2 linked regions of the Caenorhabditis elegans genome follow. The protein of the gene in region 2 purifies or fractionates together with the protein of the main gene of each other region. This does not show direct contact. Each region holds a gene or a part of one and is shown on either strand. Other genes may lie near its edges.

Region 1 (4,690 bases), on a different chromosome or scaffold from region 2:
CAATTATTTATTCAAATTTTGCGCAAAAAAAGGTTGAATTCCCATATTTCCTATTTTCGATATTTTTTTTAAATCTATTTTTTATAAATTTTCCCGCATTTTTAGGACAAATTTGTGATTTTAGCGAATTTTTCCCGGATTTTTCAGCTGTCTAATTTTTTGCAATAATTGGAAAAAAATCAGAGCGGAAAAAAGAGGCGGGGCCTTGTTCTGCAAGTCTGCGGCGCAGTTTTTCCAGAATTTTGAGTTTAATAGTCTTCAACGCTGTTTTAGTGGTTTTTTTTGCAGTTTTTCAATGAAAATGTTTTTTTTGGGATTTTTTAAAGCTTAAATTTGCAATTTTCGTGGGTAAAATAAATCTTCAGGAAATTTCTGAAAATTTGGGTGAAAACCTTAAATGTTAGCAATTTTAATAGATTAATACGCAATTAAATGCATTTTCATTTGAAAGAGTAGAAAATCTCCATGTTTCAATATTTTTTTTCGTATTCATTAACTAGAAAGGCTAAAATTTCATGTTTTTAGCTTGATTTTCAAAAAATTACAGGAAAAACTCGGGAAATGTCGAAAATAGATCATCGTTATATTTTCTTTTAATAAAAACTCTAAAAATTCATAAAAAATATTTAAAAAAGTTTTTAAAAAAGTTCACCTCATTAACCTGAAGGGCTCGTATGGAGCTGGTCAAAAAGTTGAACAGCCCCGACGACGACGAGGACATTTTGATGGAAAAATAGTGAATATAGGGATGAATTCTAAGGTGAAGCCCAGGTAATAATAATAAGAAGAAGAAGTTCGTGGGTAAAAATAGATAAAATAATAGTGAGAAAATAAGTGAGTATGTGAGACAGTTCGTGCACCCTCACTCTATCTATAACCGTCTGCGTATCTCTCGGAGAAACTGTAGAAGAGAGTGAGAGAGTGGGAGAAAACGAGAAGCGCAGAGATAATACTTTGAGGAGGACGAGAGACTGAAGATGCCGATTTGTCGCCAGAAACACGAAGAAGAAGAAGATAATTGACCGATATATTCATTATATCGATCTTCCTGAGGAAAAAAGAGATAGATTGGAGACGGATTGGAGATTCAGGTGTACTTTTATGGCTAAGTTGCCGATGGAAGATAAGAAGAAAGTGACTGGGAGTTGATGAGCTTCGGAGCCAACTGAGCCAAGAGCTAGAAAACTAATGATTGAAGGTCAGGATCATCCATCTCGGTCATTAAATCAACACGAAAAACCATCTGAACTTTATCGAAGACGTAAATGATCGGAGATTCAGGTGTACTTTTATACTTTTATCGTTTAGCTAGAGTTGCCGATAGTAGATAAGGAGTTAAAAAAGGGAGTTGATGAGCTTCGGAGAGCAACTGAGCCAATTTTGAAGGCAGAATACATCTATCTCGGCCGTTAAATCATCGAAGACGTTGAGTAGATTGGGGGGGGGGGGGCTTCATCTAATGAAATTTTAAACAAGTACAACCGATGCGATGGACTGAAGTAGATCACAACTCGAGCTGGAAAAGCCTGCAATATCAATCTTCCTGAAAGATAGATCGGAGACGGATCGGAGATGGAGGTTTACTTTTATGGTTCAGCTAAGTTGCTGATAATGAAGATAAGAAGATAATGAAGTTGAGAGGAAGAGAGTTACAACAGGGGTGAGCGGCAGATCTCGAGCACGGCAAATTCGGCAAATTTGCTGATCTTAACAAACTCCGAAATTTTAACACACATCGGATTTCTGAATAAGTTCCGTGTAGAGTGTCTGCTTAATCCTCAAAATAACTCAATTTTGCGTCACTTTACTAAATTTTTGGGGGCAAAATCAATAGTTTTGGTCAAAATTGTATTATCAAATTTTTGATGTGTGCGGCAAATTCGGCAAATATACTTTTTTGAAATTTTCCGAGCTCGGCAAACTCCGCGAATTTGCCGCACACCGCTGAGTTGAAGCAGTGGTGGATTGCCAAAAAATTTGAAATACGGCATTTGCCGAATTATCGAAAAAAAATGTCCAATTCTCCTAATGAAACATCAAATTATTTCGATTTTCAATGGCTGGGGGAGAGAGAGAAACAATTTTTTCGAGCACTATAATTGTCGATTTGCCGAAAAGTTGGAGAGAGCCAAAAAGTAATTGAGACGACTGGAAAACAAAATGAAGAAAAAAAAATTAATTCCTGAGGCGTTGAAAGTTCGCAGAAAAAAACATTTTTGCTTCGCTATTGGCTAATTTCAAAATAGTGGGCGTGGCCAACCAATCAGCGATCGCAAAGTTTTAAGCTGAGCAATGGGAAAAGGCGAGAAAAATGGCTGATTGGTTGGTCACGCCTACTTTTTTGAAATTAGACCAATAGCGAAGCGAGCGAGAAAAGCTCATTTCAGTATTTTTCAAAAAACTTTACCAAATAAGCGCCTTGCAAAATTTCAGAATTCTCAGTAAAACAGCTTTTTAAGAAGACTTTCACCCGATTTTATAAATTTTTTCTCAAATTTCCATGAAAACTTACCGCAAAACGTGGTTTTTCATTAACTCCTCCTTTCGGTTTATCTCGTTCCGCCGATCCACCTTCCGCAGGCCATTCTGCTGGTTTATCCCATTGTGAGATCTGAAATTTTTGGGAAAAATTGTAAAATGTCAGTAAGTATTTGAATTTTCAAGGTTTTTTCTTTAAAAAAAAACACAAAATCACCCAACAAAAATCTTTAAAATTTCGGAAAAAAAGGCCCGAATTCACTTTTTTGATGCTGAAAAAAAAATTTCCCACTGAATTTCTCCAGAACTTATAGAAAAAAAGAAAACAGTTATTTTTTTCAAGAACTTCACTAGAAATCGCTCAAAAAAAAACCGGGAAGAGTGCTAAATTTGACGAAAAATGTTCAATTTTGCACCTTTTTTTTCGAAATGTTTGATTTTTTGGGTCGATTTTCAACCATTTTTTCGCCAAAAAATCATCCTTACCTCAGTCTTTTTGTTATAATAATACATTTTTCCACTGGAGCTCATTTGCTCCGTCCATCCTGCAAATGTTCGCGGTACACGCGACATTTTCGGATCTCGAAAATCAAATTTTTAACAAAAATGTTTTTAAAAATTAATAAAAAATAACAATTGGCTTATAGAAACCATTAAAAACAAAAAAAAACATCAGAAAAACGTTCTAAAAAATTTTTTAAATTTTATATTACAAAATTTACATTAGTTCTACGACGAGAATTGTCTAATCTTTTGCACACAAACGGAAAAATACACGAAAAATGAGAAAAAAAAGTCGCGGGGGAAATGAGAGATCATCACTGGAATGGGGGCACATTTTCGGATAAAAATTCGGGAAAAAGCTTAGAATTTCAGTTATTCATTGCCATCTGACTGTTGTTCTGGCTCCGAGAGTAGAGTCTGAAAATTTTGGGGTTTTTAAGTGTTTTTTGAGTTTTTTAAGGAGAAAATTCACTGAAATTCGTGTTTTTTTTTCTGGAAATACTGAGAAAATTACGATTTTGGAATTAAAATTGGTTTTTTTTTTAATTTTTTGGCGTTTTTCGACAAAAAATTGTCTGAAATCCGTGTTTTCTTTTCTGGAAATACTGAGAAAAATACATTTTTTGAATTAAAGTTGGTTTTTTCGACTGATTTTATGAATTTTTACATAATTTCTTGCAATTTTTCGAGTTTCTACACAAATTTTACACCTAAATTTCCTAAAAAGCTAGTTTTTGGAGTTTTTATCGAGCTTCCAAACTGTTTTATACTTGAAAATGGGAGAAAAACCTCATGTGTCGATTTACGCTGCTCGTGTACTCCTCGAGGAGAAGAGTTTTCAGTTTTTGGCTAAATTAATCCTAATTTTGAACCTTTTTTATCGATTTTTTATCTATTTAACACGCTAAATTGCCAATTTATTTCATTTTTTGGTGTTTTTGAATGAAAATCAACGTGTTCAAAAACTGCAAAAACGCCATTTTTGAAGCTAAAATCCAACAATAATCGAGATATAGTTCCGAAAACTATGGAATTATCTCAAAAATTTTGCGGTTTTAACAAAAACTTTAGCGAAATCAACTAGAAAATTGATTTTCGAACCAATATTTGATTAAAATGGGAAAATAACCGTTTCTATATGAAATTTGGACGGAAAATTGAGAAATAAATAGTGTTTTAGGTGAAAATCGATCAATTTACTGTTGAAAAACTGTAAATTTTGCTTTTCAGTAGAATATGCACTAATTTACACCTAAAAAGCTGATTTAAATCGAAAATAATGCTAAAATGAGCCAAATTAGTCGAAAACCCCCTTTTTCGCATACTTTTTTCCTGAAAAACCGGGGAAATAATAAATGTTTGAATTTAATACTTCAAAAATTGATTTTTCGATTTTTTTTACTGATATTTTTTGAAATTTCAGCGATTTTCCACTAAATTTTCGCCTAAAATCACTATAAAATTGATTTTCCAACCGACATTCCTCTAAAATAGGGTAACTTTGTATTGAATAAGAATTTAAACTAAATTCGTCTGAAAAACTAGCAAAATACGGTTTTCGAACGATTTTTCAAAGAAAAATCAAATAAAACGATGAAAATTTACAGTTTTTCGACTATAAAACCAGGTTTTCGCTACAAAAACTCGAGAAAACGAGTGAAAAAGTAAGAAAACGGCACGAAAGTATTTTAAAAGCGGAGAGTGTTCG
Region 2 (3,766 bases):
TGGGAAACTATTCTAAAATCTCAAAATCTTATAAACATTCTAAACACTAATCACTTGGAACTGGCTGCATATGATTTGTTGGTATTGTATCGTTCAAAAAACGTTTTTGGATCAAGCAATTCTCTGTTATCCGTTCAATTTTTCAGTGATTATTTTTGATCTAGTTGCACTTGTTCATTTTGATTGCTTCCTAGTTTTCGATTCAAATATGCATGTTCGAGTAAGACCATCTTTGGAACACGTTTCTGCACACATTTTCTGTTCAGTCTTTCTTGGTTTTGTCGTGCAGGATCCAGTTCATTTCGGTTTTCATATCGGATGAATACTGACTTTTCTCGTGCACGAACCCTGAGTCCACGTATCACTTCTATCTTGTCTCGGATATCTGCCAATCTTACATGGGATTAATTTTCTGAAGAACATAGACAAAAATCCCAGTCTTTAAAGATACAATTCACTTCTGCTCACTTTCTTCAGTGTGTTTCTTGGAGAAACTATGTCTGCTCTCAGCAAAAAAGGCAACAAAAATTGTAAAGAATTAAAAAATAGTTTTATCACTTGTATCAAATTGCGCAGGTGGTATATGGTGTATTTGAATAAGTTTTCTTGTAGTTGACGGTCGGATGATGAGGAATGCCACACATGTATCCCATGATTTCCTTTCTTATCGGTCTTCTGACAAAGGGCTGGATCCATCTAAAAAGCAATTCTAATTGAGATGTCATAATACTGATTTATACTCAAATCCCCCGTCACATTGATCGATTGATCTAATTTGGAATCTATGTTCCTTCTTGCCATTGAGTGGAATTTCTTTTAAAATGCTTTTGAATATCGCCTGAGCCACTTTACTATCATCAGCATATAGTGGAGTCAATACACATTCACCAGATGGATAGATGATCACATTTCCAAATCCAATCACTTTTCCATTATTGTCGTATGCTACCTAAAGATGTTCAATTGATAAAACTCAACTTTTGAAACAAACCTTTCCAAAACCTTCAGGATCTCTAAGAAGATTTAACATGTACTTGGATCTTTCATATGGAAACACAGTGTTATCATATTTCACAATATCCATATCTGGTACCTCCGTTGCATTTTTAAGGAATATTCCATCAAGATTCAAGTCTTCAGGAATCTGCATCTCATCTGGCTTGTAATAGGAAACGTACATGATATGCTGGTAATTATTAGTTCCATATATTTTTTTGATCATGTTAGCCGCTGGTGGCAAATACGTGCCGACATTATTATCCGATTGATTTCGAGCTCTGAGTTTTTCTATGTAGTCCATAATTTCCATACTATCCTTTCCACGATAATCGGGATCAATCCAGAAAAATCCATGATACTGATGGAGAATATCATTGTGAGAAGGCAATGGTGGGAAATTCAATACATGTGACATTTGGACTATCTTGTTAGTTCCTTTCAGACATACAAGCCACAGAGAGTAACTATCTTTGAAAGATTTTCTCCAAATATCAATATCATTCCTCTTGAAGTTCAACCGCTGATTTCCGTACTGAAACATTATATTTAACTGCACTTGTGCAACTTGAAAATGTCTTACCACTTTCATGTACTCATCAACCATCTTCTCATCAGGATCAATTACAAAATCTACATTATGAATTGTCAGTGCATCTCTTGGTTTTCCATCAACAGTCTTGAATGTGATGGAACTGATTGACTTCACTGATGAAGAAATCTTCGTGAGCTTACGGCCAATGGCTAGGGATTTAGAGAGCATTTAAGTAGATTTTTGCAAATCTAGTTTTTTTAATTGAACAGAAATTGGAACTGTTAAAGGTTAGTCGAACACGTAAGGTCTCCGAAGGTTCTACATGTCACGTTAGAAACAGTTTTAAAAATTAATCAATTGAGACTATGGTTTGTATTATATATTTAGATCAATTTTTCGAACACGCAATTATTTAATACCCGTTTACTTTTTTTGTGATTCTTTTTGACCTACATAATTGCCATCTAAAACGTTCATTTTGATTGCTTCCTGGTTTTTGCTTAAAATAAACAAGTTTGGATGAGACCATCTTTTCAAAAAGTTTCTATAGCGATCAGGCCTTGTCTGTTGTCTTTAATCATGCACCTACACAGGATTCACATCTCAATTTGGTTTTCTACCCAACACGTGAATGATGACTCTCCTCGTGTACGTTTCCGAAATCTTTGTTTCACTGATAAATTTTGACTCAGTCCGTCTTTGATAGGATCAATTTTCTAAAGAGCACAAAGCTTATTTAATGCGTTTCCTGGACTTTGTCTGATCTCCACAAAAATCAAAAATAAATTCTTAATGGGTTTTGTTCAAATCGTTTTATCGGACTCATACAATATCTCCAGATCAATCGTTTTCCGCTCAAATTACGCAGGTCGTGTACGGCGTGTTCGCATAAGTTTTCTTGTAATTGACGGTTGGAGGATGAGAAGAACCAGCCATGTATCCCATGATTTCCTTTCTTATTGGGTTTTTAACAAAGGGTTGAATCCATCTAAAAATAAAATGAAAATTGAGATATCATAAAACAAAAACTAACTCAAATCCTCCTTCACATTGATCGATTGATCTTATTTGGAATCTCAAAAGCTTCTTGTCATTGAGTGGAATTTCTTTTAAAATGCTTTTGAATATTGCCTGAGCCACTTTACTATCATCAGCATATAGTGGAGTCAATACACATTCACCAGATGGATAGATGATCACATTTCCAAATCCAATCACTTTTCCATTATTGTCGTATGCTACCTAAAGATGTTCAATTGATAAAACTCAACTTTTGAAACAAACCTTTCCAAAACCTTCAGGATCTCTAAGAAGATTTAACATGTACTTGGATCTTTCATATGGAAACACAGTGTTATCATATTTCACAATATCCATATCTGGTACTTCCGTTGCATTTTTAAGGAATATTCCATCAAGATTCAAGTCTTCAGGAATCTGCATCTCATCTGGCTTGTAATACGAGACATACATTATATGTTTGTAATCAGCATGCCCATGCATTTTCGTCCACATAGTCACAGCTGTAGTCAAAAACGTTCCAGCATCATTATCCGATTGATTCCGAGCTCTGTGCTTTTCGATGTAATCCATGATTGCCATACTATCCTTTCCACGATAATCAGGATCAACCCAGAAAAATCCATGATACTGATGGAGAATATCATTGTGAGAAAGCAATGGTGGGAAATTCAATACATGTGACATTTGGACTATCTTGTTAGTTCCTTTCAGACATACAAGCCACAGAGAGTAACTATCTTTGAAAGATTTTCTCCAAATATCAATATCATTCCTCTTGAAGTTAAACCGCTGATTTCCGTACTGAAACATTATATTTAACTGCACTTGTGCAACTTGAAAATGTCTTACCACTTTCATGTACTCATCAACCATCTTCTCATCAGGATCAATTACGAAATCTACATTATGAATTGTCAGTGCATCTCTTGGTTTTCCATCAACAGTCTTGAATGTGATGGAACTGATTGACTTCACTGATGAAGAAATCTTCGTGAGCCTACGGCCGAGGGCAAGAGATTTGGAGAGCATTCAAGTAGATTTTTGCAGGTCTAGTTTTTTGAATTGATTACAAAATAAATTTAAATAGTTAGAACTTGCAAAGGTTAGTCGAACACGTGCGTTCTTTGAAATTGGGATAGGTCACGCTGACAATTTTACTTTTCTAAACCGAAACTGAGTATTATAAGGTCGTACAATCGATTCTCAATGACT

The links.
Region 1: the proteins of C28D4.4 (region 2) and wac-1.1 fractionate together in Caenorhabditis elegans (co-fractionation; one large-scale study listed by BioGRID). This does not show direct contact.

What each region holds. Positions count from the first base shown.
Region 1 is NC_003279.8:13,345,441-13,350,130, reverse strand, and holds the start of wac-1.1 (WW domain-containing protein), read right to left. Parts: upstream 3,062-4,690; 5' UTR 3,052-3,061; coding exon 2,965-3,051; intron 2,612-2,964; coding exon 2,513-2,611; intron 722-2,512; coding exon of another isoform or gene 653-721; intron 1-652. Other genes in the region: wac-1.2 (WW domain-containing protein), read right to left, coding at 3,355-3,399.
Region 2 is NC_003282.8:9,743,225-9,746,990, forward strand, and holds C28D4.4 (DUF1248 domain-containing protein), read right to left. Parts: upstream 1,782-3,766; 5' UTR 1,760-1,781; coding exon 1,580-1,759; intron 1,532-1,579; coding exon 992-1,531; intron 950-991; coding exon 741-949; intron 697-740; coding exon 564-696; 3' UTR 536-563; downstream 1-535. Other genes in the region: C28D4.5 (DUF1248 domain-containing protein), read right to left, coding at 2,387-2,519, 2,565-2,773, 2,816-3,355, 3,404-3,583.